Pelodiscus sinensis: one gene and its partner. The protein of the gene in region 1 purifies or fractionates together with the protein of each later gene. This does not show direct contact. Links are inferred from orthologs where the notes say so. Each region holds a gene or a part of one and is shown on either strand. Other genes may lie near its edges.

Region 1 (15,259 bases):
AGGGCTGTTTGAACTCATTGAATGGGAATTTTAGTACCCTTTCACATCAATGTGTCATTATTAAAACCCTTTGGAATGGGATCTCAGAATTCTTTGACAAAAGTGGGTATTATCTTTATCCCCATTTTATTAGTATGAAAAATGGGGCAGGGAGAGATTGTGAGTTTACTCAGGATCACAAAACAATAAGTGGCAGACTGTGGAACCCGTCTCCTGACCCCTAGCAATTTCTATAACCACTGAGCCCAGGGTGATTTATGCTTTTTTTTAAACACAGGGTTCAAGGCTGTTTTTCCCCTAAAGAAAGAAAAACAATATTAATAAAATAAACTTCTGTAGTAACAAACAAGCACTTTTGATCAATCCTATGTAATAAATCACATTAATAGGGAAAAACTATCAGGAGTCCAATTTTAGTTTCCAATTTCTAGGACTCTTTAGACAATGATGTGTTGAGTGTTATATTCAAAGGAATGATAAATACACATTAATGTATATGGCCTATGCTGAGACTCATTCGCCTACATATTTTTTTCTTTCTATTATTCACTACAAAATCAGCTATATGTAAATTATGTGTGACCTAGTTACACTGGATAGCTAGCAAGAAACTGGTGAGTTCTGATTCTAGCACCAATTCCTTCCTTGGCTTTGAACAAGTCACTTAACCTCAGTTTTCCCTTGCAATGGTATAATTTTGAAAACAGATGTGGGTAAACTGACTAAAACTCCATATTCCCCGAGAGAGAAATAGGTGTATTGTTTACTCTTAACTACATGACTGTTCCCCTCCCAGTTATGCTATGCGGATTAGTTGATTATTCAATGTTTGTGAACCTCTCAGCAATCTATAAAAGCCAAAAGTACATGGAAACTCCATCCATCATACAAGATTTGTCTTATTTTTCCCATTTTCCATAGGAATCTCTTTAAAACTGTCATTCATATAAAAAAGTTTTTACTGCAGAAAGACAGTGTGATGTAATCATGTCACTCTGGCTATGTCTACACTACAGAGTTTTCTTCAGAAAAACAGCCATTTTTCTGAAAAAAAACCCAAAAACCCTTCACTTATATCCACACTGCAATCACGTTCTTTCGACAAAAAATCAAAAGAACAAAGAGGTTTTTCCAACATTAGTAAACCTTTTTCTATGAGGAAAAAGCCTTTTTCTGAAAGAGCGCTTTCGGAAAAAGGAGTGTGTGGATGGGGAATAGGGGGGTTCTTTTGAAAAAAGAGGAAAAAGCACAGGTGCCCTGGTGGCCACTCCATCCATAGTAATCACAGCTTAAATGAGAGATAGCGTCCACACTGAATGGACGCTATCTTTTGAAAAAGCAGATTGCTTTTTCGATGCACTTTTTGCTGTGTGGGCACTCTTTTTCAGAAGAAGCTTTTTGGAATATCTCTTCCGGAAAAGCTTCTTCCGAAAGAAGCCTGCAGTCTAGACGTAGCCTTTGTATCCCGCAGGCTCCACCCTCTCACAGCCTCCCTGCCCCAGACGCTATTCTGGCAGCTCGTCCTAGGTAGATTATGCTTCCTGAAGGGCTGAGACCAGAGCTAAGCAGGACCCTTCGGAGGCAGAATGTGCCTAGGCCAGACTGCCAAGCATCTTTGCCCATCCCCAGACAGTGTCTGGGGCAGGAAGCGATTCCATCCAGGGCCTGGGTGCCGCTCCGGATCAGTCTGCTGCTTGGAATGGGACTGCGGCAGCACTGCTGCTTTTACTTGGAGGAGAAACCCCAGGTAGAGGCTCTGAGGCATCTGGACCTGGGGATGTTGGAGGCTTTCTCGGAAGCCAGAGGGCCTGAGGCATCTGTGGGAGCAGTCCTCCAGGGGAAGTGGCGTGGGAGTGGTGGGTAAGAGGAGGTGCTGGGTGCATGCTGGGCCAGCCCTGTTGGCCCCCTGCAACCACTGTGCCATGTGGCTTGTGGTGGCTGGCTGTGGTGCATGACCATGTGCATGGGGTGGGCTGAGCTTTGGCTCGCTGACCAGAGAGAGGGGCCACAAGGCTGTGTTCCTTCCAAGTGGGGGCTTTCAGCCCGCAATGCAGGGGCTTGCGTCAGTTGGTGCAGAGCCCAGGGTGCGGCTCATTCATACTGGGAATGGATGCAGGCTCCATGCCCCAGCCGCCCATTGCCCCATCCTCTGCTGCACCCCGACTGGCTGCATCAGCACCAAGCCACCCCTGCGGAAACTGCTACTGTTGTCCGGCAATCCCTGAGGCTTCACAGAGAGAAGGCCCAGCAGCATCTGGAGAGGCTGCCAACACAGCCACGTGGGGGGTGGGCTATCTGGGGGGGAGGGGGCACCTGCCTTTGCATGGTGGAGACCCCCTTGTATTGCCAAGAGGCCATGGTTCTTCCCTTAAAGGATTTGGAGGCAATAAGCACACAAATTGGGTGAAGGTTTAAAGATTTTACTAAGCAAATCTCAAAATAAAGTACAGTACTTATTAAGCAAATCACAAAATAAAATACAATACCTATTAAGCAAATACAAGGCTTACTAAGAAAGTACAATGCTTATTAAGCCTAAGCAAACCTCAGAATAAAATGCAACGCCTACGTCCCTTCTGCGGCTGGGAACCCCCTGATGAAGGACAGGGGATGGCCACCAGTGGCCAGTACATAGCACCTTCCGCAGCTTCGGTCTACGCCGAGGTTCCAATGTTAGGAAGATCCCCGGCACCTATATATTATCGGATCTACATTACTCACACCGATTGTTTTGAGAACCTGGCAAAATTACTAATACATCGACTATTTTCCCAAGTGAAATAATTAGCTTTAGCAGGTGGTAAACATTCAACATAGATAGCTATTTGATCTTCCCAGACAATCCCTCCCTCCTGGACCAGGTAGATAGCCTTGAAATGGGTCTCAGAGCCTGTTAAAAGTAAACAGTGCATTCCTAAGCTGTACCATCCTAAGCAAGCAGTTAACTCCTTGGCTACGTCTAGACTGGCATGATTTTCCGCAAATGCTTTTAACGGAAAAGTTTTTCCGTTAAAAGCATTTGCAGAAAAGAGTGTCTAGATTGGCACGGACGCTTTTCTGCAAAAGCACTTTTTGCAGAAAAGCGTCCGTGCCAATCTAAACGCGGTTTTGCACAAGAAAGCCCCGATTGCCATTTTCGCGATCAGGGCTTTTTTGCACAAAACAATACCGCATTGTCTACACTGGCCCTGTTGAGCAAAAGCATTTGCGCAAGAGGGCTTTTCCCTGAATGGGAGCAGCATAGCATTTCCGCAAGAACACTGACAATCTTACAAGTCCCACTCTCTGACAAGGATGTGAAGGACTAGTCGACTAGTTGCTGGTCTATGCTCAGTTTTTACACTTATCAGGCTCAAATTCCACCAATATAAATACCTTATATAGATACTACAGGAATATGCTCCCTGCTCACTCCCCTCAGGGGAGAGGTTAGAGAAGATGGGTAGATGTAGGAATGGAGTTGGGAGTTGGATGGAAGGAGGGGAATGGGGAGGAGGGGTTAGGGAGGATGATGAGTAGGAATGGAGGCAGGCAGATGTGGGTGTAAGAACGGAGGACAGAGGTAGGGCTAGGGATGGAAGGAGGGGGGTGGGCTGTGAGCCATGGACTATTGGCAGGTTGGGCAGGAGCAGGAAGGATGTGGGAGGGGAGACTGAAGGGCACAAGCAGGTGGTATAGGCTAAGAGCATTCAGATAGAGGGGCTCATCCAGGGGTGTGATGGGCGGTAGTGGAGAAGGGTGCAAGTGACTTGGGGCCATGGAGAGTGCAGCTGGGTTTGGTGCAAGATTAACAGGCTCTCTGGCTGTGAAAGCGGCCAGCGAGAGGGAGGGTTGGCGAGCGTAGTGAGCAGGGGGTGCATCTCCCTAGTATCTATATTAAGGTATTTATATTAGTGGAGTTTGAGCCTGATAAGTGTAAAAACTGAGCATAGACCAGGCATAGGAACAAGTAATCCTTGTTGTAATTACATGTTTTCCTCCTCCTTGGATTAACACTTTTACTTTAAGTGTTCTCAGAGGTTTATGAACAGGGCTCAACAATCTATGTAATCTACTTGCCCATAGCGAGTAGCTTACATCCCGGAAGAGCCGGGTTCGGGCGATCTGTGCAGGTGCAGAACGCTGGACAGTGCAGCTGGCGAGCAGGGGTCGCCATGGCTTGGTGAGCCCTGTTTATGAATAATAAAAACCAGGGGCGAAAGCAAAAGCAGGGACTTACTGATGGGCCATGCACTGAGCCTGCTGTGCTTGGTGGTGGTGGTGGGGCAGCTCCCTTCAGCCAGTCTTTCATGGCCAGCAGCCAAGAACCCAAGGGATGCACCCATGAAAGCTGGGAGCCAGAGGGCTCTAGCGGTGATTTGAGGGACCCAGGGCTCTCTGCTGCTGCCACAATGGGTCAGAGCCCTGAGTCCTTTTAGATTGTGGGGCTTGTCATGAGAATCACAGGTCCGATGATGCATACCCAAGGGAGGAAGGATAGAACCAGGTGGACAGTTTTATCAAATAAAAAATATTTATTTATAACAGTGATGAATTTATAGTATTTATTCTGAGATTTTTAATAGACCGTGTTAATAATGAATTTACAGTATTTATTATATTCTATGATTTCTAGCTAAACATATCAGAGATATAAGGATCCTTTTCAACTTATTCATAAATGATCTGGAGAAAGGGGTAAGCAGTGAGGTAGTAAAGTTTGCAGATGATACCAAACTGTTTAGGATAGTCAAGACAGAAGCAGACTGTGAGGGACTCCAAAAAGATCTCACCAAACTCAGTGATTGGGCAGCAAAATGGCAAATGAATTTAATGTGGATAAGTGTAAAGTAATGCACATTGGGAAAAATAACCCCAACTATACGTACAGTATGATGGGGGCTAATTTGGCTACGACAAATCAGGAAAGGGATCTTGGAGTTATCGTGGATAGTTCTCTGAAAACTTCCATGCAGTGTGCAGCGGCGGTCAAAAAGGCAAATAGGATGCTAGGAATTATTAGGAAAGGGATAGAAAATAAGACACAGAATATCTTACTGCCCCTGTATAAAACTATGGTACGCCCACATCTAGAATACTGTGTACAGATATGGTCTCCTCACCTCAAAAAAGATATTTTGGCCTTGGAAAGGGTTCAGAAAAGGGCAACTAAAATGATAAGGGGTTTGGAACGGGTCCCATATGAGGAGAGGTTAAAGCAACTGGGACTTTTCAGTTTATAAAAGAGACTGAGGGGGGATTTGATAGAGGTCTATAAAATCATGAGTGGTGTGGAGAGGGCCGATAAAGAAAAGTTATTTATTAGTTCCCTAAATAGAAGAACTAGAGGACACCAAATGATATTAATGGGTAGCAGGTTTAAAACGAATAAAAGAAAGTTCTTCTTCACACAGCGTGTAGTCAACCTGTGGAATTTCTTGCCAGAGGAGGCTGTGCAGGCTAGGACTATAATAGAGTTTAAAGAGAAGCTAGATAATTTCATGAAGGTTAGGTCCATAATAGGCTATTAGCCAGGGGATAAAATGGTGTTCCTGGCCTCTGTTTGTCAGAGGCTGGAGAGAGATGGCAGGAGACAAATCGCTTGATCATTGTCTTTGGTCCACCCTCTCTGGGGCACCTGGTGCTGGCCACTGTCAGTAGACAGGATACTGGGCTAGAAAGACCCTTGGTCTGACCTAGTACGGCCGTTCTTATGTTCTTATGATGGGAATGGCAAGGGGAATAGTCTCTATTCTAAAAATATCCAGCTACACTAATTAAATAACAGTGATAACTACAAACTTTATGTACTACCCAAAACAACTACAACACCAAGCTTATAGAACAAGAAAAATCAAATCATACATACCAACTTACACAGCACACGGAACATTTCAAAGATATTGGTTCGGTTGCGAAGATCTTGGTTACGCCCGAGTGTCGGGGGAGGTGGCTGGTCGGTTGATCAGATCGGCAGCGCTTTGAAGTATACGAGCAGGCACATGCACGGTGGTACGTGTGTTGCGAAGACCCCCTCGCGTGAACTGTGCGATGGGTATTTATCCCCAAATCTGCACATCGCTTTCCCGCGCTTGCATATTACCATATATGGCCCAATGGTCACCAAGTGGGGGGTCTGTGTTCCAGGGGTTGGGCCGAAGCTGAGCAGGTTTCATGCGACCAGGTAAGTTCTCATGCCAAGGTGACGGGTGGGAGAGTTTGAAGCTATTTTCCCCTTTTCACTCCTTCCCTTTTTCTAAAGGGAATGGTATGCAGGAAGGGTGCGGCCGGTTTCTCCCAAGGAGTACTGCAGCCCACTATAGCAAGAGCGGCCTGGCCAAACTTTTTACCGGGGGAGGGGCAGTTTTTTTCTAATAGGGCTGTAGGGCAACTGCCCTGTTTGCTCTCCTGTGTCAGCAGCTCTGCCAGTAGAGTCCAGCCATGCTGCCACAGCAGTGTTTTAATGTCACTGCCTCTTTTGCCATTCCACTCTTCCAGATAATTCAAAGTCTAGAAAAATGTATGGAGGATAGGGCCATGGGGCGGGATGATGTCCCTAGCTTCTATTTGTCAGGGCTGGGACTGTGTGACAGGAGAGGGATCACTTGATGATTACCTGTTCTGTTCATTCCCTCCAGGGCACCAGGCATTGGTCACTGCTGGAGGACAGGCTATCGGGTTAGATGGACCTTTGGTCTGATCCTGTATGGCTGTTCTTAGGTTCAGGTCTCTTGAAGCTCACAAATTAGCATAGTAACATCTCTCTCCAGAACCTGCTGCATTTTAAAGTGAATTAAAATGAGTCCTTTAACCTTCAGGATTCATGTGATTATTCAGTGATTGTAAGTATATGCAGAAATTATATAAACTCAGAAAATATCCATAAATCAATTTATTTTCCTATTCAGTCCCTTCAGTTCATTACCTTAATGCAGACCAATGGATCAATTGTTCAGAAGAATTAAACTAGGGTCCTCTATGATCTTCCTAAAGAACAACATATCTGACAGAATCTCAAGCATAACTGTTCATAGAATATTTTGTTCTTGTAAATACATTTAATTCTGCAGTGAAGTTTTATTTTACTTATTTTATTAATATTTGTTACTTTATTTTTCATGTGTACAGACACAAGATGTAGGAAACTAAAAAATAAGTTGCCAGCAGTAGTTGACAGTCAAAAGATGAATCCAACTTTTTGCATATTTCATTATTTGGTACAGAATTATGAAAACGGAGAACAAATTCACAGAGCAGCTCATTTTTTTCCTTATGTGTCTACTTACTAATCAGAAACATTCTACTATGTATTTTATAATGGTATTTTTTAAAGTTGATTGTTGACTGTTAAAGCAATTACTAGTGAGACTCCAGAGAGAGTCCAGATGAACAATTTTTTTCATTAGCACCAAAACCTCTCCCCTGTCCTGAGTTTGTAAACTGCCTCTTGTGATGAGCCCCAGATGTTGGATTTTCCTACTTTGCAAACTGTCTCCTGAACCACAGCCAGTGTTTCCCTTTAGCTCTGGAGATTCCATCTTTATTTGATTACTCTCTCATATTTCAGATCTAAGTTTAATAAATAAAATTTATATTGAGGAAAGACCACTATACTAGAAGGGGTTTGCTGGTATAGCAATATATAGAACTATGTTGGTAAAACTCTCTAGAGTGGATGCAGTTTTTATTGGCCTAAAAGTTTTTGTGATGATATATCTTATGCTATTCTGCAAACAAAATTAAATTATTCCAGCAAAAGTACCTTCTTACCAGCAGAACCGTACTTGTGCTAGAATAGCTATGTTAGTTAGGGATGTGTTGTTTTTGCACTCCTGACATACCTAAGCCAGCAAAATTTTAAGTGAATGGGCCTGAATAACAATACAAGGAGCCAGATTCTGCTTTTAATGTATGTGGTTGTATCTTTAAATGGCCTCAGTTAAAGGACCAAAACTGTCCAAATGTTCCTATGTTAATTCACAGAAACACGGATGAATGCTGAATTTGTACACTCACCTTTCCTCTCCATCCACTGCCTCCCATGTTTGTCAATAAATGCAGATCTGAATGCACAACTGCAATGCCTCCTGTGATTCAGGATAGTTGCACATACTAGGTATTTATTCCATTCAATTTGTAGTATATTTTGCAGGAGCCAGAGAGAAGGCTGGGGGGGAGGAGGGGGAAGGAAGGAAGGAAGAGGAGAGGAGCAGAAAGCAAGGAATTCAAAGCTGAAGGAGTAGAGGGAAACTCAAGATCATCTCATCTGAAGAAGTGGGTTTTGCCCAGAAAGCTCATGGCACACACTGTCTTCTCTCTCTGTTAATCTCTCAGGTGCCACAGGACTAGTCATTGGTTTTTAAGATCTGTGAGTGACACTGTTTCGGTAAGTGGCTCTCTGTCTGACATGAGTATGGATATTGCTGGGGCTCATTGCCTCAAAAGTTTTCTACCTATTCCTCTGGCATAATAGCCCATCTCTCACAGCTCCCTGGTGCAAGTGTGCCTGTGCCCTGCTCGCTAGTGAAGGAGCAGTTCTATAGCTGCATTCTCTGGGTCCTTGTCAGCTGCCAAAGTTGCATCCCTGTAAGGTTAAATCAGTTTTTAAGAGATGTGGTTAAACTGCAGCAAGTCACAGCGCAGCTCTTGGCATTTCAGCCTGACTGGTGTCCTGGCAATACACCTCGGCTACGTCTAGACTGGCATGATTTTCCGCAAATGCTTTTAACGGAAAAGTTTTCCGTTAAAAGCATTTGCAGAAAAGAGCGTCTAGATTGGCACGGACGCTTTTCTGCAAAAGCACTTTTTGCGGAAAAGCATCCGTATCAATCTAGATGTGGTTTTGCGCAAAAAAGCCCTGAGCGCCATTTTCATAATAAGGGCTTTTTTTGAACAAATCTGAGCTGTCTACACTGGCCCTTTCGCGCAAAAGGACTTTTGCCCGAACAGGAGCAGCATAATATTTCCGCAAGAAGCACTGATTTCTTACATGAGATCGTCAGTGTTCTTGCGGAAATTCAAGCGACCAGTGTAGACAGGTGGCAAGGTTTTCTGGAAAAGCAGCTGCTTTTGCGGAAAAACTTGCCAGTCTAGACACAGCCTTCCAGTTTTAAAAAGCCTAGTGTCCCGCTTGCAGAGAAAGGCTGGAGAGCGTGACCAAAGTCCATCCTAAAATGGCTCAGAAATGGAAGGCGGCTGAAGAGAACAGCCCCACCCCCCCTATTGCTTTGAAGTCAGTCTCGCTCGGTGCCTGGCCCAACCCGCCCGGCTGCTCGGGCTCGCCAGGGGCACTCTATGCCAGACGGCAGCGCCACCGGCTGCGGCGGCCTGAGTGAAACGCAATCCACATCCGCCTGGCGCGTCTGCCCTGCGGCTGGCGGCTCCCTCACGCGGGGCCCGGGGGCCGCGAACGTGGCCTGCAGGGGGCGCGGCGGGGCGGCGCGCTGGGCCGGTGCCGGGAGGAAATGATGCTCCTGGTGCCTGGTTATTAATTACAGCGCCGGGCGCCCATTGGCAGAGCGCGGCGCAGCCACTTCCTCCTGCCGCATCCCGGCCCCTCCTGCCGCCGCCGGAAAATTTGGCTCCGGCGTCTCGTTCCCTGCCAGCTCCCGCCCCTTGTCCGCCGCCGCGCCGGGCTGGGGGGATGCGGCTGGGCTGAGCCGAGGGGAAGCGCCGTGATTAGAGCGCAGCGACGTGCAGCCGCCGCCGCCACCCCATGGGGAGGGCAGCCCGCCTCTAGCGCCCGGCGCCGCCGCCGCCTCCCGCTGCGCTGCTATGAGACGGTGAGTGGCCTTGCCGGCCCGGCTGTGGCGGGCGGCCCGGGCCGGGGGGACGCGCTGCCGGCAGTGGGGCCCGAGCCGCTTGGGAAGGGCCGGGTCCGGGCGGGCGGCTCGCTGCCTCCCTCGGGCTGGGGGCGCCTTCAGGGGCGCGGGCAGCCAAACCCCGGCGCCTGCCCGCAGCGGCCAACCGGCCTCCCCCGGGTGTCTCCCTCCGCCGGGGGCCTTGGGCCCCCAGTGCACGAGAGGCGGTGACCTCCCCTGCGCGCCCTGCCTCGCTAGCTGCCGTGTGGCCAGCTTCGAAGGCAGGAATGCGGCGGGAGTCGTCTTCTGGTTCCCCCAAGGTAAATGTGGTTTCAGATGTTGCACGTCACTTTGCCAAGTTTAAACCCTTCCCTCCACGCTGTAACCACAATGGTTGGGGGGGGAAATGCTTGGGAATCTCACACGCGAAAATGGGGGAAGGAAGAGGGCGGTGGGCTGGCTGGGTGGATGAATGCTGCTTTTAAATGGACGACTTGCTATTTTCGGTTCGCCTCTGGGTTCTTCTGTCACTGCTTTCAGCACAAAAACATTTTGTAGACAGGCTAGAGTTCTCACTAGTTCCAAGTTCCTTTTGTAATGTAGAAAGGATTGGTGAACAAGGCTGACACTTTCCTGTTGTTTCAGTCGCCTCATGCTGATTGATAAACATGACAATGAGTAACACACACAAAACGTTGGTAATTTAGTCCTTTGAAGAATGCAGCTATTTAGTGGGGTCTGGTTTCCCATTAAGTCTCTTTCCTGTAAGCAATATTAAAAGTCTGTAAGCAGAGTTTTAATGCATCACCTGAGCCCAAAATAGAACTTGTTGCTTTTCTGTAAGCTTTGTAAATATTTATAAAGTATTTATCAAACATGCCTTAAACTATCTCTCCAAAACATAGTCCACGTGATACGAAGTTGTCCTTGTCACTTGCTCATTGAGTAATCAAGGATCCCTTTCCTAATGCATTGAAGTCATATAGGACAACTTGAAAATGGTTGACCTATGTGATTTCATGGTGTGGAAAAAAACCCTCTGACATAAATAGATATTACCAGGACTCCTGTATTGTGTGTTGATAACTGCAAATATCACAGTTCAGAAATGTAGAACGTGGCCTTCTAAGCATTCCATGCAGGCTGTAGGAAATGGTTACTAGTTTGAAAGAGACCAGGAAGCAAGCGCTTTTGTGTTACTCTGGTCAGCTCTGTGAGACAAGGCTGACTGCTGTTCCTCAAGAGCAATCCCATTAGCCTGATGAAGAATGGTATTAACACAGTCTGTGGATTCTTGTCTGGTCTAGAACTCAGCCTTGAGAAAATAATCTTCCATTTATCTTTTTCCTTCTCCCCCAAGACCTCAATTAAGAAAGTTGTGAAGAAATGGGTATTGAGGAAGGAAAATGTCTCAGTTGTTGAGAATGTGAACAATTCTCTTACTCAGGGGAAAGAAAACCTTAAAAGGAAAAATTAAACTACATTTTTGAGTATTAATTTTAAGGATAACTTCTCTAGCCTTATCCTATGGATAGGTATAATAGCAAACAGCCTTTTATTTTGCTAATTGGCTCGATTTAGAGTTTCCAGATTTGGGGGGGGGGGGGAGAAGAGGGAAAGCTCTTGCTAATAACTCAGTCTCAATGACTGCTTTCTGAAGAGAATAATACTAGATACCAAATTCCACTCTATTCATCTGTTACAGTGCTTGTTAGTGTTTATATACAAACAACCATGTGCCTGAGTCATTGACTGTAGAACAAATGTTCTGGACTATATACAATGCAATCTTCCTGGGTGATGTTTAAAATGGTTACATTTCCTATTTCTTGATATGAGAGAGAAGACACACTGGCTTCCAGTGTGGCAGATGCCATTGAAAATAACAAGCCAAAAATAATGTGTGCATTTGAATCTCTTAAGTCCATTTTATTCATTAATGATTTGATGGTGCAATGCATTTATGGATGATTAAATCAAACAACTGTTTATGTAGGTGAGAATGGGCTCATCTATACATCAACCTAAAGATTTTAACTACACTTTGTAAACATTGGGGCATAAGCATGTTGTTAGCCTTTCCAGTAATGTAATTTATAGCAATGCCTTGTTGAGGTAAAAAATTAGTGGCCCCCACTGTTAACCATTCACATCCCTATTTTATAGTAAACTGGAAGAATGACTCACTTTCCTTTGACTTCATACCCTGCTTACACCTATTGAAGATTGTGGGCATGTACAGCTATCACCTGAGGGCATAATTTGTCTTAAAGGAACTTTTGTTATTGGTGGTGATATAGGAGAGAGCCTGGAATCTGAATGTCTAAGTTTGAAGGGTTGTTAGCTGTAAGTGAATTTTTCCATCAAGTGAACATTCTCAAAATGGAGTAACTGAGATTTCCAGGTAGAACCATGTTTTTGAATCTACAGACATTATCTGTTTTTGTATGACAAGCACTGAGACACTTCTGTGGTCCCCAATCTTCTACTTAGGAAAAAATCCTGTTAATGAAAAGGATGAAGCAAATGAAATAATTTGTTTATGGTCAATGATGTATTTAGATGTCTCTTCAGTTTTCCTTTCTGTGTCCTATAGCCTTGAATTATCCCCTATGCTGCTTACCCATGGCAACCATAGTGACCACATCAAGTATTTTATAAATGCCCTCCAAGATCTATCTGTAAAGGTGTAATGTTTGAGAATAATGTTCTTCCAAAGAAGAGTATGAATTTGAAGGTAGGAGGAAAGGTAAGCACTCAAAAGAAGCAGCTGGCAAATGCATTGCTGCTTCCTTTGATGGGTCTACTTATTTTGGACATCGTGTGTGTGTGTGTGTGTGTGTGTGTGTGTGTGTGTGTGTGTGTGTGTGGTTTTTCCAATACAAAAGTATTCTTTAAAAACAAAAACAAACTCACTACAGATTAACTGTGGTGTGTTCCATACTGTAAGTAACTTGCCCATCCCCCTGAATGTACAGTTAGTATGAAAATTTTTTTGTCTGTATTATAAGTAACATTGTGAAGGGCCCTTGGCATGCCATATATTTTGGGACTTGTCTGTTGACCCAGATGGCCCAAGATTTATTCATAGTTCTTGCTTCTAGTCCTTCCCAGCTATTCATACACCTTTTTTGCAACCTAAGGACAGTGATCATTTCTCCTCTGTCTCCATTTTAGGATACACTTCCAAGATATACTGTACATACTGCAGTGACTAAGATCATTTCTACAACCATTTCACTTTATACATCATCTGCCTTTGTGATGACTTGTAGTCTGTCCAAAAATATAGAAGGTGGGGCTATGGTGTGGTGTTTTGTTTTGTTTCTCTTAAACCCTGCAGGAAGGGCACCATTTCTCTGTTAATTATAATTCATGTAAATATAACACATTTCAAATTTGGAAGCAGAGAAATAGAAATCCTGTTTGGATATTATTGATAGTAGCAGTACCAGTCGCTGTCAGTTGTATCAGCTGCTCTACTTTACAGACAGCTCTATTGGCAGACTCTTTCTATTTTCATCCAGTGCTTTTATAAGTAGGTCTGACAGAAATTGGGTTTTTATTTTTTATTATTATTTTGATGGCTAATGTTGTTTAAGTGTCCTTATAGCTTTTATCAGTTTAAATCTTCAGTTACCCTAATTTTGGTTCTTTGGCTTAAGTTTTTATTGAGTTGACTTCCCACAATTTCCAAAATTTATGAAGGGGAATGGTGGTCAGACAACTATTTAATGGTGCTAGACACTACACTACAGCTACACTAGAGGGTTTTGCTGGCAGAGTATGCTAATGAAGTGCTTGTTAGCATTTGTCATGCTGTCATTAACTTATTCTCTGTCTGAGGCTTTTTGTGCAAGAGGTTTTTGCGCAAAACCAAGCCATGTAGACGGATCCGTTTTGAGCAAAACGGATCAGTCTGTGCTGCTTGTTTTTGCACGAAAACCTCTTGTGCCAAAAGCCTCAGGCAGAGAATACACTAATGACAGTGACAAATGCTAATGAGTGCTTCATTAGCATGCTATCTACTAGCAAAACCCTGTAGTGTATATGTAGCCCGAGACTCTAAGCTTATAATGGTTAAAACAGGTTGTCAACATCATATGCCAAACTACATGAAATAAATAGCCTAAAATCACATGTTCTTGAGCACCCCTCCCCCCCTCCCCGTTTTGTCTGTCTAAACTTCAATTGTAATTGTGGGAATACTTTTTCATTGTGTGTGCTGAAATAGAGACATACTGACATTGATAAGTTTGATTCTACAGGTTGTACCTCCCTAGACCGGGACTTCTAATCTGGCAACATCTGCGGTCCTGTTCCTAGACATATTTACATGAATTATAATTAACAGAGAAATGGTGCCCTTCCTGCATAAGGAGCCCCACAGCAGTGGATTTGGCCAGTACGGGGAGCTCAGGTGGCACAGCCAGGAGCGTGGTCAGGGCTTAGGCAGCACTGGATGTTCTATTGGTATGGCTAGGAGCACTGTGGCAGGGGTTCAGGTGGGTACAGCTGGGAGTCCCAGAGTTGAGGGGTCCAGCCAGGGCTGGCAGCACAGCTGGCTGAAGGTAGTGGGGGCCAGCTGGGGCCAGAAGCAGAGTTGGTGGGTGTCCAGGAGGCTGGTGACCAGGGACCTCCCTTGGTCTGGCAAATGTCCTTGTTTGGGACTGGCCAGGTCCCAAGGGCACTGGACCACAGTGGTCAAGCCTGTAAAAAGCCTATTTATTAGCTACATTAATCTTCCTAACTTTACTTGCATGAGGGGAATGAATGTAACCATGCTATTCCCTTCATTTATTGTAAGGAATATGGAAGCATATGGGTTGCTTTATCTTTGCAAGTCAATCATGTTAGCTTGTGTTTACTTGGTATATAGAATGTTGTAGTCACACTCATTACTTAAAAAGGGTTTTGTAACTGTTCAAATGATGCCCACAGAATTTCAGTCTGTGTCCCTGCAGACCTTCTTGGGAGCTTTTTTTCAGCTATATTTCCTGAATCTCGTTACTTAAACTTCCATGTTCACAAACTGGAAGAATGTGGGGTGGGGTTTTTTTGTATTCTCAACTATAACTTTTGATGACTGTTTATACTTATGTCCAGCCTGACATGTCAACCTGGTTGAGATCTATTTTTTTCCCCATGTTGTTGATGCATCCAAGTAAGGTACCCAGGAAACTGAGGAAGTAGAGATTTGCTCATTCTTAGCAGTTGAGAAGCTCTTGGGGAGAAGTGATAGAAAACCCTCTTCTCCCCTACAGCAGGGAAAGTGGCACAGTAGAGTGGAACTTACATTTTATGTGGAGTTGATGTAGGGGGAAATCCCTTAGATTTGTTCCCTTTTCTAACAACTTAACCTTACAAGTGGGGTTCCTGTAACCTGTGTTTGTACATCTACATCTGTCTAAAAAGTAAGTGGGTGTGTTGTGGAGTGCAGCTCTTTCAAGAGCTAGCTGAGTTGTGGCAAAAGCCAGGTG
Region 2 (15,296 bases), on another chromosome or scaffold:
AGTTGGCACCAGACTATTGGAAGTGCCTGACCACTGGATGCCGGACAATTGGAGTTTTACTGTACATTATATTCATGGTCAACATTTGTTGACACTAAGAATTCTAATTCCCTTTAAAAAAATCCTGTTGATGCTTCCCCATGTGTCTGATAATTCTATTCTTTCCTATAGTTTCAACCAATTTGCCAGGTACTAAAAACAGGTTTACTAGCCTGTAACTTGCAAGAACACCTCCAAAGCCATTTTTTAAAATTAGACTTCACATTAGCTGCTATCTGCCAATCACGTCATACAATGGCCCATTTAAGTAATAAGTTATATACCACAGTAAGTATTCCTAAGTTTCATATTTGAGTTCCTTTGGAACTCTAGGGTGGATACCATACTGGTCCTGGTGATTTATTACTGTTAAAGTTCTCAGTTTGTTCCAAATCCTCCTATGACAACAACTCAATCTGGGACAATTCCTTAGATTTAGCACCTAAGAAAGAATGGACTAGGTGTGGGAATCTCCTCTATGTTTACTGCACTAAAGGCCTATGCAAAAAACTTATTTAGCTTTTCTCCACAATGGGCGTATCTTCTTGGCATGTTCCTTCAGCATCTCTATAATTCAGAATGTTTGACAGGTTTCCTGATTCTAATGTATTTTTTAAAAAATTGCTGTTAATTTGTGCCTTTTGTTCTTCGAATTCTTTTTGGCTGCCTTATTATACTTTTACACTGTTTCGAATGCACTGAAAGATGCATTGACTAATATGCCTTTAAACATAACATTTTCCTAATCTAAACCTGGTACTAGATATTATGCTAATTAAGACAGGCAGATGGCCTAATTTGTCATTGTCTCTAGAACTTTCATGTAGGAACAGAAATTAAAAAAAACAGTATTTATATAGTTAGGGAAGGCAAGGAAGAAGACAAGAAAATTAAAAGAATGATCCAATGAAGAAGTGGGTAACAGGAAGTCTGGGGATAGAGTTTCTTTTACACTACAAGTAAATAAAATGAAAAATAAAAAGATGAAGAGAAGAATGAAATAGAGAAACTTATGCAGAAGTGGGTGTTAAAGAACAGGTTGATTAGATAAAACAAAATATAGGAATTCATCTTCATTTTCATTGTAGCACATGAAATCTGTAAGTACCAGTCTATAATCAAAATCACAGTAACCTTATTTTGAGGTTACTCATGCAAAGATAATCTAGACATTAAGCAGTTGTGTCAAGATTGGCATAAAGGTTCATCCTGCAGGTGTCAACAGCAGGATATGGCAGTTGATTGTCAACCTCTCAATTGATACACTGATGCATCGCTTGACTCCTGGTAGGGCAAACTGGCAGCCTGCCCTGTTCTAGTCTATATAGGTTTTAATACAGGCTGAAACTCTCTTAACTGGGACTGGCAAGACCACAGATGTTCCAGGACCCAGTGGAGTCCCAGTCCCAGTGGAGAGCTAGCGCCAGGGCAGCAGGGCTTCTCAGCAGGGCTATGGGAGCCCCATGCATGGCAGCAGGAGCCTGGCACAGAGGCTGCAGAGCTGCCTGGAGTAGCAGCAGGATCCAGGCTCTGCAGCAGGAACCTGGTGTGCAGAGGCAGCAAGGCTGCACAGAGCAGCACAGAGCCCGGTGCATGAAGGTAGCAGGGCTGCTGGGCACTGCAGCAGGAGCCCTGTGCACACACGTGGCAGGGCTGCCTGGTGCAGCAGTAGGAGCCCAGTGAGCAGAGTCATTGTGGCTTCCCAGAACAGCAGCAGAAGCTGAACATGACAGCAAGATCCTGGTGCACAGAGACGGCAGGGCTGCTCAGTAAAGCAGTGGAGGCAGACAGGACAGCTGGGCCAGTGAGAGGGGGGAGCCAGCTTGGAGGGCAGCAGTCAGGCCAGGGCTGGAGGGAGGTGGTGGCAAGTGGGGGCCAGAAATGACCACCCCTGGTCTGGCAAAATCCCTCCTCTGGGACAGGTCACGTCCCTAAGCTGCCAGACCAGGGAGGTCCAACCTCTACCATGCTCACAGTATCTGAGTGCCTTCCAGTAGCTCATTAAGCAACATAACAATGCATGTCAAATGTCTGTTCACTCATCCTCTCTCCAGAGGAAGTAGATGCATTGAAGTGTTTTATTTTGAGAAGGTGTGTTTTAATTCAAGTGAACTTGTTTGCTTTCTGTCACATAAGCACAAGCCAAGTCAAATAAATGTGCCTTGTATCTGGAGCCCAGGTTGGCAAGATTTGTAATGGACTGTATTCGACACTTCAGATACATGACCAACAAATCCAGTAAATTCAATGTAACTGAAACAAACCTGACAGGTAACGGTGGTCTTGCCTATAGCTACTGGATCTCTTAATTCATTTTGTAGAAGCTGCACATAGCCCTGAGTTGGGACCTGGATACTTGAGACAGACTATCCCTTTATGTCATACTATGCTTATGGTACGCTTATGATTAACAGAGGCATTCAAGTTGGCTCCCCATCAATCTAAGTAAAGTGCTGGTTGTAGAGCATTTCCCAAGAGGGGTCTTCATCTCTGAAATGGACTTGCTTGTGATCTAAGAATTTCAACTATACTGGCCATCAGAGCACACCTCCCAGCCCCCCACAATAGCTGTTTATGCAGTGCACAGTTAGATGCTCCAGAAAAAGGGGGCTTGGATGTTCTGCATGAGATCTAGCTTTGTTTACACAGTTTGGCAGGTCTCCCTGAAGGTGTCTCCTAAATCTGTCTAATGTAATTACTGCTGTTATTCCTGAAGTCTACTGTAGGGCACTACTAACCAACAGCATGACCAGGGAAATTTAGGCAAGTATGCAAGACAACCAAAAAAGTAACTTCTGCTGTTGTGCTGCAACTTTACAAGGAACTAAGATTGAGTATCAGTACTAATTATCCTCAAAACATTTAATGATCGTATTATAGTGAAATGCATGTATCTGTAGCTCTTGCATTGCTTTATGAAGATGGGGGAGTATAACTACCTTTCAGTGATGAAGCTGCAGACACACTGATTTTAAGTAGCTTCTCCCTGATCACAGTAAGTCTGGCACAAGAAAATTTGGTTTGCTTGAGTCCCAAATCATTTACTATAGCCAGAATTGCACGCTAACAGTCTTAATAATTCCATTTGGTTTTTACTTTGATATGCCCTGGGGAAAGAGTAGAATTTATTCCACCTGCATTTTTCTATTTCCCTGTAGACAGCCCAAAACCAAGTTTATCTAGATCAATTGAAGTTTACCATTTTAAAGTGATATGCAAATTTTGCAAACTTGTAAAACGATATAATGAGAATACCCAGGAACAGCTTTAGTGAATTACTTATCTTTCAATTTTCAAATATTTCAAGTATAGCCTATAAAGAAATGCAGCATGTATTCTACATTTTAACATCAATTACTAAAGTAACCTCAATCAACATGAAATGGAGTGAAACTTTAAATTGGAAGTCAAAAAAAATTTCAATCTCACCTAACCCGCCAGGTCCAGCCAGCAAAAACTCTTGTCTGCCTATCCTTTTCACAATTGGTCGTTTCTCATCACTGCAATAAGGGAATAGATCCTGGGAGGTGCCAGTATTATAATTCAATATAATATACTGCGTAGTGAGTGCAAGGCATAAGTAATGACCATCTACAGCTACAGCACATGGTTGCTCCGGAGTGAACACTTCCTTCACTATCTGGACTTTATCCTCGTACACCATAAACATCTGGATGGTCCGCCGTTTCACAGAGATAATGCAAACTTCTACACAAAAAGGGTCCCCACTCACAGGGTTTTCATTTAGTGTGAATGTCACAGCTCCCTTGATTCTAGCTCCAGTAGGAATAGGTTCCAGGTTCATCATGTTAACTAATGTTATTGTGTTGTCACAAAGCACCAGTAACCTGTTGAGTGCTGAAGCTGCTTTCAGCTCATTGACAGCTTTCTTAAAGCCCAAGTATTTATGCAGTTGTTTGGTGGTGGCAAAAGTTATTTTTCCAGCTGATATCTTCTCTTCTAGTAGGAAGTGATAGACAAAGCAGTCGTTGGTTCCAATATAGAGGTTTTTCCCACAGCACTCAATACATTCAACATTGATTCGAGCTTTGTCTCCCATTAGCGTCTCCCGCTCAACAGCAGGAACAAGCTTGAAGGCCTTCACACTCATTGTGTCTTCTGGATGTCCTGTTTTGGAAGAGAAAAAAAAACCACAACATTTTATTCACATCTCTAAGTCCCGCTAACTTTAAAAGGCCTTAGCCAATTCTGAAATAATTACCCTCTGTCTAAAGGAGACCTTTAGGCTGGTAAATTAATCTTTCACTTAGCACTTTATACTCCATCTGATCAAATTTATGCTAATGGCAATCTAGAATTATAAAATATGCCATTCAGAAATCTTCTGCTTTTAATAATAAATATATTCTACCCTTGATATGCACATAATATATTTTTACCGTTACAAGGGAGTGCACATCAAAGAGCATCTAGAACATAAAACTCGCAAGCAACCTGGATTATGCTGTGTATATTCAAAACATATGTCTGATTCAAAAGAAATCACCTCAGGAAAAAAAAGAAAACCTTTAGGGAACTAAATAAATTGAAAAACTATGAGTAAAGTATGCATAGAAAATGGAAGTAATTTACTGAATTCAAAGCATAGCTTACTTGAGAATACAAAGCTGGTTGCTTTGGGTGCATAAACCAAGAGACCTCTTCCAAGTGCTAGATTGTTACTTTCTACTTCTACACATCACCATATGGAGCTCCCAAGTAGTAACACAACACTAAACATCTTACTCTGTCTACATGTAAAGATACTAGCATATTTTGGGCACTGTAAAAGTAACTTTCCATAGCATACTAAAAATAAAAAAAACTCCAGACAAGCAGCTGTGTTCACAAAATATTGCAGTCAATTATTACTTTTTCTGAATTTAAAAAAGGTGACGTGCAAGATAAAAAAACTACAAATCTAGTTCATTTGGTCATAGAGAAATCATTTGCAAGCAGAAGAAATAAAAGAATAAATAACTTAAATGTTGGTGAAGTTGAACAGCAATTCATAATAACCAACAAAGCAATTTACAAGTTCCAATATATTGAAAGAGTTTGGTACTTTTATTCTATACCAATCTCTCAAAACTCATTTTAAGAAGGGCAAATGATATTTTGAATTGTAGCCTGGGGGCTTGAATTAAAGCTAGATTAATATTACTACATGCAATCCATAGCATCTCTCAGATAATGGGAGCTTTGCACAAAAATAAAGAGCCATATGGTACTCTCACACAGTAACTAAGTTTTAAGTGGAAATAGTCAATTTCACTAGAAGAGAAAAAATTAAGGACACCATTATTTCTGCACTCCATTTGACTATCTGCATTTGCAATTAGTAGATTTACCCACAGAACTGCATGCCCAATTTATTGGAAAATGTAGCCCACAAAGTGTTCTCATGAGGTTTAGAAGTCAACAGCACAAAAATTTAACAGGTATTGTTCCCTGTTCTCAGAGCTGTTTGTCATTAATACGCTCATTCACCTCACTCTTCAGAACCATTATCTACGAGCATTTTCTCTGACAGATCTTCAGAATGTGAATCTCATGATCAGGCCCTGTGTAATCAGTTTATTTTACTTTTTTAGAAAATTCACTATAGTGTAAATAACAAAGTACTAAAATCACAAAAATTTGCATGGAATTAATTTTACTACTAAGTTTATTCAGTTTCAAGGGTGGAATGATATAGGAGCATAGCACTGTAAATAATTTTTTTGTACTGCAGGTTTTATTGTTAACAGTTTCCATTTTTTATAAAAAAGGAAAAATCATTTTTGTGGGGTATTTTCGTGATTTCCAAGAAATCATGATTTATGTGGGATCCTACATATGGACAATTACTTTAAGACTATGTCTACACTACAAGGTGGAGGGTTCACACCTCAAGCGCACTTCTGCACAAGTAAATCAGCAGAAGAGAAAGCTTTTGGCGGTAGTTATTTCTCTCCCCACGAGGAATAACTCCTTTTTGAGCAAGAGCTCTTGTGCAGAAAAGTCAAGTGTGGATGCTCTGTAGGGGTTTCTTGAGCAAGAAACCCCTATCCGAAAAAGCACAGGTGTTCTGACGGCCATTCTGTGAATGGCCATCAGAGCTTTCTTGTACAAGAGTATCCATAAAGTGTCCATGAGGACTGGATGCGCTTTTGTACAAGTAGTTTTTGCGGAAGAACTCTTCCGCAAAAGGCTTCTTGCACAAAAACCCTACAATGTAGATGAAGCCTAAGAGTGGCTCCAACTCAGTGTTGTTTTTTGACACCTGACCACATTGCTATCAATTATATTTTCTGCACATCCAAATTAAATTTAGTATTCCAAAGTTAATTCCCCATTTAGCATGTTAGGCAAACAAGCATTTGTATCACTGATGAAATATGAGTATTGACTAGCTTTTCGTACTTGAAGAGGTCCTTGTCCTAAAGCACGAACCACCAGAAAGCAGTTCTCCCACATCCTTGAAAGTTTGGGAGGGAGCGGAAGTGAGTGACAAACTAAACCACGTGAGTCTAGCACAATCTCCCTCAAGAGTGTTATTAAAACTTGAGAATTCTGACTGCTCTTTAGGCAGTGTACAGTGCTACACTGAACATTTTAGAGAGTTACAGGCCTGTGGGGGAAGTCACTAGTAAGGATTATTCATCCACAAGTGCTTAGAGGTAAACAACAACAACAACAACAACATTTCAAATAAAATGCTTAGGTCCCAAACATTTGTTTGCACAAATTTGAGAAAACCAGCACCATCTAAACATTACTATCCACCATCCAGAACATAAATGTTAATGCTTTAAATAGGAAAATTTCCATCAGTATTCCCAATGCAGTATACTTTCAAACCATAAGATCACAGAAAAGCATAAGCTCTGTCAGACACCACGGTAAACTATTTTGGGCCAATGTTTTCAAACTTGGATCATTAAAGTTAGGCTAAAATCCATTTTTAATCATCTGCATAGAAGTGGCCTGATTTTAAGACAAGATACAGCTACAACTTCAATTTATAACAGCAGACTGAAAGTGCTAAGGACCTTTGAAAAACAGGTCATTTCTAGTTGGACGCTGAAAAATAGCTTTAGGGCATAATTTAATGTATTTAGGTTTTTAAATCTAAACTTTGGTTATATCTGCACTCCCCTTCCTCCCGCCATGGGCTTAGCTACCTAGTCTGAAAAATAGCTTGTAGCCTACAGTGAAAAGCCAGCCCCTAAACTTTACACTGCCCTTCTTACCTCTGGCTGTCAACATTCAGTCAAAGTTCCTGTAGCCAAGGGTAAAAAATGCTGATTGCCAGTGGGAGAGCTGGTTCTAACCAAGTACAAGTCTGGTTCTAACCAAGACAATTTTAAAAACATCTTCAGAATAAAGGGGATATACAAAGAAATATGCAAATAATCAAACTAGTTAGAATCCTCCAGTAGCCTGTGCTGCTAAAATTAAATCATGCAAATCCTGGGCAAAAACCATAATGTAATACTATACAGATTTAGTGTCTACAGAAAATAAGTGATCTGGCTATATATCCAAGAATAAGGTTGTTGAGAAAGTTTCTTTCAACTTAAACACAACCAGTATGCTATATCTTTTAAATGTATCTTTGATTAAACATCTTGCAACATGTTGTGTTTTAAGCAGATAGCACTGGTATAGGTATCTTGGAATATGCTATTCCTTGTAAGTACCAGATTCCATCTCTCTCAGAAATAGCAAGGGAAATTGTTCAATATTGAACATCAATAGCATAATCCCTAAAAGTGGCACATGCTACCATCCATTGCAATTACTATTGTTACCCATTACTTAGATATTCAATATACATACAAAAATACAATATTTGACCCTATAAATTAAAAACATTTTGGAGACATCACTGAAAAGCCTCACCCTGCTTAAGGCTTTGCCTCATTGATTAGTCAGTACAGTACAATGTAGTGCAGTTTGGGTGTAGCCCTGTCGGTCCTCAAATCTCAGGCATACAAGGCAGGTGACTGAACAAAACAGACACACCTGTCACCTGTGGGGGAACACTTTTCACAAAAAGCGAGCATCATCGTAACTCTCCTATCGGCCCTTACGAGCACAGGAAGCCGGCACATCCCTTTCAGAAGACGAGCCTGAGGGCTTCAGTTCACAACTCGGCCAGACACCAAACATCATGGGCTCCCCTGACACACTGGATTGGGGGCTTTATTACAACGATCCGTAAGCCGCTACCTTCCCGCTCGGCCCTCTGACCGCAGAGGCGCTCGGGGCTCACGCTGCCGGGCCCCGACGCTGCGGGCCGCTGCTCACCCTCCAGAGCCGTGCCCCGGGGACAGGCTCTGCCTGGGCTTGCCCCTCTCGCCAGCGGCTGCCGGACAGACAGACAGACGCGGTCCCCTCACCCCTGCGCCCGCCACCGCTCAGCAGGGAGCGCCCGCCCCGCCCGGCCTGGCGCTGGGCAGAGCAGCGACCCGGAGTCACCCCCCGCCCGCCCGCCCGCCCGCCCGCCTCGGGCACCAGCGCGGCCCCCGCGCCCGGACAGCGGCCGCTCCGGCCGGACAAAATGGCTCCTGCAGCCCCCGCCCGCAGCCCGGACACAGGCCGGGGCCGGCCCAGGGGGGCTCAGGTCCGCCCCCGCGGCGCTTACCGGGGCGGCCACGGCCGGGTCCGGGGCGGCCTGGCCCCCGCCGCGCTACTGCCGGCGGGTCTCCGCCTGCGGCCCGCCCGGGCGCCCTGCCTCCTCCGGGGGCGGCTCCCCGCCCCCCTCCTCACGCTCCTTCCGGTCACGTGAGCGGCGCCGGACACGGGAAGGGCGGGGCCTGAGGAGGGCAAGGGGAGGAAAAGGCGCCGCCCCCATTGACTTTCGTGGGCGCGTATCCCGCAGACCCGCCCCGTACTCAGCCCATCCCCCAACACTCACTATTCCCCCCCCCTCCCCCCCGCAAGCACGTCCTCCCTCGGCGTTCCATTCACGCAGCGCGCGCGCGCGCGCCCCGCCCCTCTGCCCAGCGCCCCGCACGCACGGGACGCTCCTCATGCGGGTGCCCTGCACGTTCGCTCCGGCCAGACCTCGCCCCGCCCCCCCCCCCCCCCCGTCCTCAGCAGCCGGGCGCTGTGCGGGCGCGGGTCAGAACTTCGACAAGTGCAGTGGGTGGCGCAGCAGGGCGAAGACCGGCCCCTGCCTCCCTGCCGCGCCCAGAGCTTACGTGCCCCCGTGTCCAGCTCCTAGGTCCAGGGGTAGTAACAGGGGGTCTGTGCACACTGCCCCTGCCCCTAGTGTGGGGCCTGTAGCGGGGAGGTTGCCCTAGGCTAAGTGCCACACCTGGGCCACTGGGAGAAAAGGGGTTGCCCCAGCCCTGTGCCCCGTATGGACAGTCATGCCCCTTCGCCATCTCTGTCCCAAGGAGCCAAATATCCGGGGGCTCTGCATCCCATGTGCAGGCTTCACTTCCTGCCCAGGACCCTGCTCAGCTTCCATTCCCACGCTCAAGATTCTCAGCCAACCCCTTGTCCCACTCAGCTGCTGGCCCTGCTCTCAGGGACCTGGCCACAGGCCCTTGGTCCCACTTCGCTGCTGTGACCACACAAATGGTCTCGGTGTCCAACCCTGGTTCCCACTTGGCTGCTTGTCCTGTTCTCGGGGACTTGGCCACCACTTCTGAGCCCCGCTCAGCTACTGTCCTCATGCGAATGTTCTTGGTGGCCAGCCATGGCCTTGGGTCTCACTTGACTGCTGGGCACTGGCCCTGCTGCTGAGCCCAGCTTGCAGGATCCCACCTAGCTGCCAGAATGAGGATTTTGGACACCGACCCTATTTGTAGGATCCCAGCTGCTGGCCACAGCTCTAAGGATCAGTTGGGATGTGGACGGAGGTAAGGGGGATGCAGCTCAGCATCATTACTCCAAAAATTATTCTCGTGCCACTACAGGACATGCCATCCACTTCTGGGAGCTGCCTGAAGCTCTGCCTTGGCCCCAAACTTTGATCTAGCATAAGTTAACTAAGTTATAGTTTACAGCCTTATTAGGGGCCTGTAAAAAATAATAATAAAAAAAGACTCCATTTCAAATGTTTATGAAAACTGGTTGATAAAGGATTTATGTGAAGAGGAAGATTCTTGCTGTAGACATTTTTGTTCAAATAGTACTAACTCAAAGCAGTGAACAATTATTTGATTTAGATGGGGTTGGTCCTGCCTAGAGCGGGGGGCTGGACTTGATCTTCTGAGGTCTCTTCCAGTTCTATGATTCTATGATAAGGGGATGGTTGAATGAAATAACATGATCATGGTAACTAATTGACCATTATCAGTTGGAAATAGGTCAATGGAGGGATGATAGGAGTTACTATAGAGAACTTTCTGGGTGTCTGGCTGGTGAGTCTTGCCCACATGTTCAGGGTTTAGCTGATCGCCATATTTGGGGTCAGGAAGGAATTTTCCTCCAGGGTAGATTGGCAGAGGCCCTGGAGGTTTTTCGCCTTCCTCTGTAGCATTGGGCACAGATCACAGCTGAAGGACTCTCTGCATGTTGGGGCCTTCAAAGTATTTGAAGGCTTCAATATCTGAGACATAGGTGAGAGGATTATTCTAAGAGGGGTGGGCGAGATTCTGTGGCCTGCACTGTGCAGGGGGCCAGACTAGATGATCATAATGGTCCCTTCTGACCTTAAAGTCTATGAGTCTATGAGTCTATTGTACTTCACAATAGCCAGACCTTTTTGGTTATTGCAAATCATCAAATATTAGTAGTCAAAGATAATTTTTATCAACAGATCCAGACCTATTTACTTCAATGTCAAACATCCTGGGTATGTCTAGACTACATGCCTATGCCGACAGAGGCATGTAAATTAGACTACCCGACATAGTCAATGAAGCGGGGATTTAAATATCTCCCACTTCATTAAAATAAAAATGGCTGCCATGCTGTGCTGGCTCACCTGATCGTTGGCACAGCGCAGCAGTCAAGACGCGGATCTTTCGACAGGGCAGCCTTTGTCGACTGTTCCTGTAAACCTCATTTCACAACCTGGATTTGTTGATAAAAGCGGGGGATATTTAAATCCCTGCTTCATTGACTGGAGTCAGCTGCTGATCAATTTCAGCAGTGGCTGACTTGGGGACACCTGGGACAGAGCAGCTGGGGTGCTGCTGGGTTGGTCTTGCAGTGCTGAGGGGCGGCGCTACGGGACCAACCCGACAGCACCTCAGCTGCTCTGCCCCAGGCGTCCCCAAGTCAGCTGCTGCTGAAATTGATCAGCGGCTGACTCCAGGAAGCCCGGGGCAGAGCTGCTTGGTCCGGCATCCAATGCTCCGGCACTCCTGATGGTCTGGAACCATCGGGAACCTGAAAGTGCTCCGGGCAGTCGGACAATTGGAGCTGCTCTACCCCGGGCTTCCTGGAATCAGCTGCTGGTCAGTTTCAGCAGCGGCTGAATCGGAGACGCCTGGGGCAGAGCAGCTCCAATTGTCGGACTGCCTGGAGCACTCCCAGGTTCCCGATGGTTCCAGACCATCAGGAGTGCCAGAGCATTGGATGCCGGAGCAATGGAGTTTTACTGTAATATGTGATTCATAGAGAAATATTTATGTAAAAATAACATAAAATAGAAAGGAGCTAATGGTTCTACAGTGTTCTTTATATTAAAATACTTTGAAGTTTAAACTTTTTTACACTAGGAACTGAAGGTACTTTGATAAATGTATGGAAAGGTTGGTTTGTTTTCACTTAGTATGTATTTTTTTTAATAAATATTTTTAAATTGCTGTGGGTAGGAGAAATACAATGACTTAAAAGAACATGATATCTTAAGGTTTTGAAAAACAAGGCAAACATTTAAAATACAATGAAAAATACTTGGTTTTTTTTCTGAGTAGTTTATAAATAACAACTACTTAGAAAATAAATGGCATGTGTCCTCTCTTAGATTGTGATTCTGCAAACATGTATGCATGTGCTTAATTGTACTACTGTAATTCCACTAATTTAAATAAGCCTATTCATAGTAATAAAGTTAAGCTCATGCATAAGTGTTATCAGAATTAGGATCTTAAAATGATACATGGATAAAACTACAAAGAAGGAATGACTTCTAATATTTGACAAGTGCCTATCTCATTTATAACTGCTTATATAATAGCAAAGATTAGCATGATTCTTTACACTATAAAGATGGATTCACCGACCTAAGGAACATATGCCAAATTTCCATTCAGTTATAGAGGTAACATGGGTTGCTAGAAAGTTTTAGAAACGATGGGATAAGTACTGACTGGTCAGACACCAGTAACCAGTAAAACAAGTCCCTGGCAGTATTTCGAACTAGGGGGTTAGTGTAGACATACCCTTGGATAATTATTATCTTGTCCAAGATGTTAGCACTGTGGCATGAAAATTGGTCTTTAATTCTTTTCCTTTTGTTATATACATCACTGCCCTCTGCTGGATACACTTTGTCCGATCTATTCAATTGTTCATACACTAAAGTTACAAATACCTAATGGAGCTTGTTCCCAATTCTGAAATGTCTGAAACACTGGACAAAATGTAATGGTTGCTGTTTCAAAAGTTTACAACTGACTATTGACTTCATATAGCTTTGAAACTTTATTATACAGGAGAAAAATGTTGTTTTTAACATTTTAAATTTAAATGAAATAAGTTTATTTACTTTGTAATCTTTTTTAAACTTCCCCTTTATTTTTTATCATTTTAATATTTAACTCTGTTTTGTACAGAATAGTATTTCCTTTTTTGGGTCTCTGCTGTCTGATTGCATACTTACACTTCCAAGTAAGGTGTGTGGTTGATTGGTCACTTTGAAGCTGTTGTTCACAACTGTTTACACCTCTGCTGTCAATGAAATAGACACAGAGTGTCTTATATGTAGTGTAATGTACTTCTGGAGAAATTTGCACTAAAAAATTAACAATTCTATGCACAATATTTTATTTTTCAAAAACAATGTAATCACTCCAATTTCAATTATTTTGGTAATTTATTTCAAAATACAAGTCAGCAAGTATATATGTACCAATACAGACAACAAAAAATTCAGAATTTTTTTGACAAACTGGTTATATATTAGGTATATTATTACAGAACTTTGAGTTAATTTAAACTACAATTCAGAAACATATTTCATTCATCTTTCAAAAACAGTATAAAGGCTTGAGGGAGTTGGGGTAAGGGAGGAGCTGAGAAACAGGGAATAATTGCTAGGTAAGAATCTGAGTGTGACCTGGAGAATTATTGGGTATGGGTGACATAAGTATGAAACAGGTTTGATTTTTGGGAAAGGGATTTTGAGAGATGGGGAGCTTCCTCCATGCAGACCCTAGCTGACCCCTAACCTTTCACATTCAATCATGAATCTGTGGCCCTGTCCCCATATGTCATAGAATCCGAGGGCTGGAAGAGACCTCAGGAGGTCATCAAGTCCAGCCCCCTGCCCAAAGCAGGACTAACCCCAACTAAATCATCCCATCCAGGACTTTGTCAAGCCAGGACTTAAAAACCTCTAGGGACGGAGATTCTACCACCTCTCTAGGTAACCCATTCCAGTGCTTCACTACCCTCCTGGTGAAATAGTTTTTCCTAATATCCAACCTAGACCTCCCCCTCTTCAATTTGAGACTATTGCTCCTTTTTCTGCCATCTGTCACTACTGAGAACAGCCTTTCTTCATCCTCTTTGGAACCTTCTTTCAGGTAGTTAAAGGCTGCTATCAAATCCCCCTTCACTCTTCTCTTCTGCAGACTAAACAAACCCAAATCCCTCAGTATCTCCTGATAGGTCATGTGTTCCAGCCCCTTAATAATTTTCGTTGGCCTCCGCTGGACCCTCTCCAATGCGTCCACCTCCTTTCTGTAGTGGGAGGCCCAGAGTTGGACACAATACTCCAGATGTGGCCTCACCAGTGCCCAGTAGAGGGAAATAATCACTTCTCTAGATCTGGTGATAATGCTCCTCCTAATGTACTCTAATATGCCATTACCTTCCTGGCTACAAGGGCACACTGTTGATTCATATCCAGTTTCTCATTCACTGTAATCCCCAGGTCCTTTGTCAAACTGCTGCTTAGCCAATTGGTCCCCAGCCTGTAACAGTGCTTGGGATTCTTCCGACCCAAGTGCAGGACTCTGCTCTTATCCTTGTTGAACCTCATCAGATTTCTTTTGGCCCAATCTTCCAATTTGTTGTCTAAGTCACTCTGGACCCTATCCCTGCCCTCCAACATTCCTATCTCTCCCTCTCGCTTAGTGTCATCCGCAAACTTTCTGAGGGTGCAATCCATCCCCTTAGCCGGTCATTAATAAAGTTGCTGAACAAAACCGTTCCTAGAACCGATCCCTGGTGCACTCTGCTTGAAACCGACTGCCAGCGATACATCAAGCCATTGATCACTACCCATTGAGCTTGACAATCTAATCAGTTTTCTATCCACCTTACAGTCCATTTATCCAATCCATACTTCCTTAACTTGCTGGCAAAAATATATGGGAGACCCTATTGAAAGCTTTGCTAAAGTCAAGGTATAGTACATCTATTGACTTCCCCATGTCCACACAGCCATTTACCTCATCATAGAAGGCAATCAGGTTGGTCAGGCATGACTTGCCCTTGGTGAATCCATGTTGACTATTCCTGATCACTTTCCCCTCTTCCCAGTGCTTCAAAATGGATTCCTTGAGGATCCCCTCCATGATTTTTCTGGGGATTGAGGTGAGGTGAGGCTCACTGGTTTGTAGTTCCCTTTTTTTTTGGATTGTCCTTCCCTTTTTTAAAAGATGGACACTACATTTGCATTTTTCCAGTTGTCCGGGATCTTCCCTGATCTCTAAGAGTTTTTAAAGATAATGGCCAAAGGCTCTGCTATGACATCTGCCAACTCCCTCAGTACCTTCAGATGCATTAAATCTGGATCCATGGATTTGTGTGTCTAGCTTTTCTAAATAGTTCTTAACCTGTTCTTTCTCAACCAAGGGCTACCCATCTCCTTCCCATACTGTGTTGCCTAGTGCAGAAGTCTGGGAGCTGACCTTGTCTGTGAAGACAGAGGCAAAAAAAGCATTGAGTACTTCATCTTTTCCCACACCCTCCTTGATCACCCTTTTATTGCTATCATGCCTGTAGAAACCTTTCTTGTTACCCTTCTCAACCCTTGCTAGCTGCAATTTCAGTTGTGCTTTGGCCTTCCTGATTATGCCGCTGCTTTCTCAAGCAATATATTTATACTCTTCCCTAGTCATCTGTCCAAGTTTCCACTT

What was found.
Region 2: the proteins of ACVR1 (region 1) and TGFBRAP1 purify together in Homo sapiens (co-immunoprecipitation; 3 studies listed by BioGRID and IntAct, counting the BioPlex papers as one, with this or other methods). This does not show direct contact. The link is inferred for Pelodiscus sinensis from reciprocal best matches to the Homo sapiens genes ACVR1 and TGFBRAP1.

What each region holds. Positions count from the first base shown.
Region 1 is NC_134717.1:31,842,550-31,857,808, reverse strand, and holds the start of ACVR1 (activin receptor type-1), read left to right. Parts: upstream 1-9,448; 5' UTR 9,449-9,753; coding exon 9,754-9,761; intron 9,762-9,913; exon of another isoform or gene 9,914-10,099; intron 10,100-15,259. UniProt on the Homo sapiens protein: Bone morphogenetic protein (BMP) type I receptor that is involved in a wide variety of biological processes, including bone, heart, cartilage, nervous, and reproductive system development and regulation.
Region 2 is NC_134711.1:233,358,879-233,374,174, forward strand, and holds the start of TGFBRAP1 (transforming growth factor-beta receptor-associated protein 1), read right to left. Parts: upstream 8,065-15,296; 5' UTR 7,949-8,064; coding exon 7,927-7,948; intron 4,168-7,926; coding exon 3,469-4,167; intron 1-3,468. UniProt on the Homo sapiens protein: Plays a role in the TGF-beta/activin signaling pathway. It associates with inactive heteromeric TGF-beta and activin receptor complexes, mainly through the type II receptor, and is released upon activation of signaling.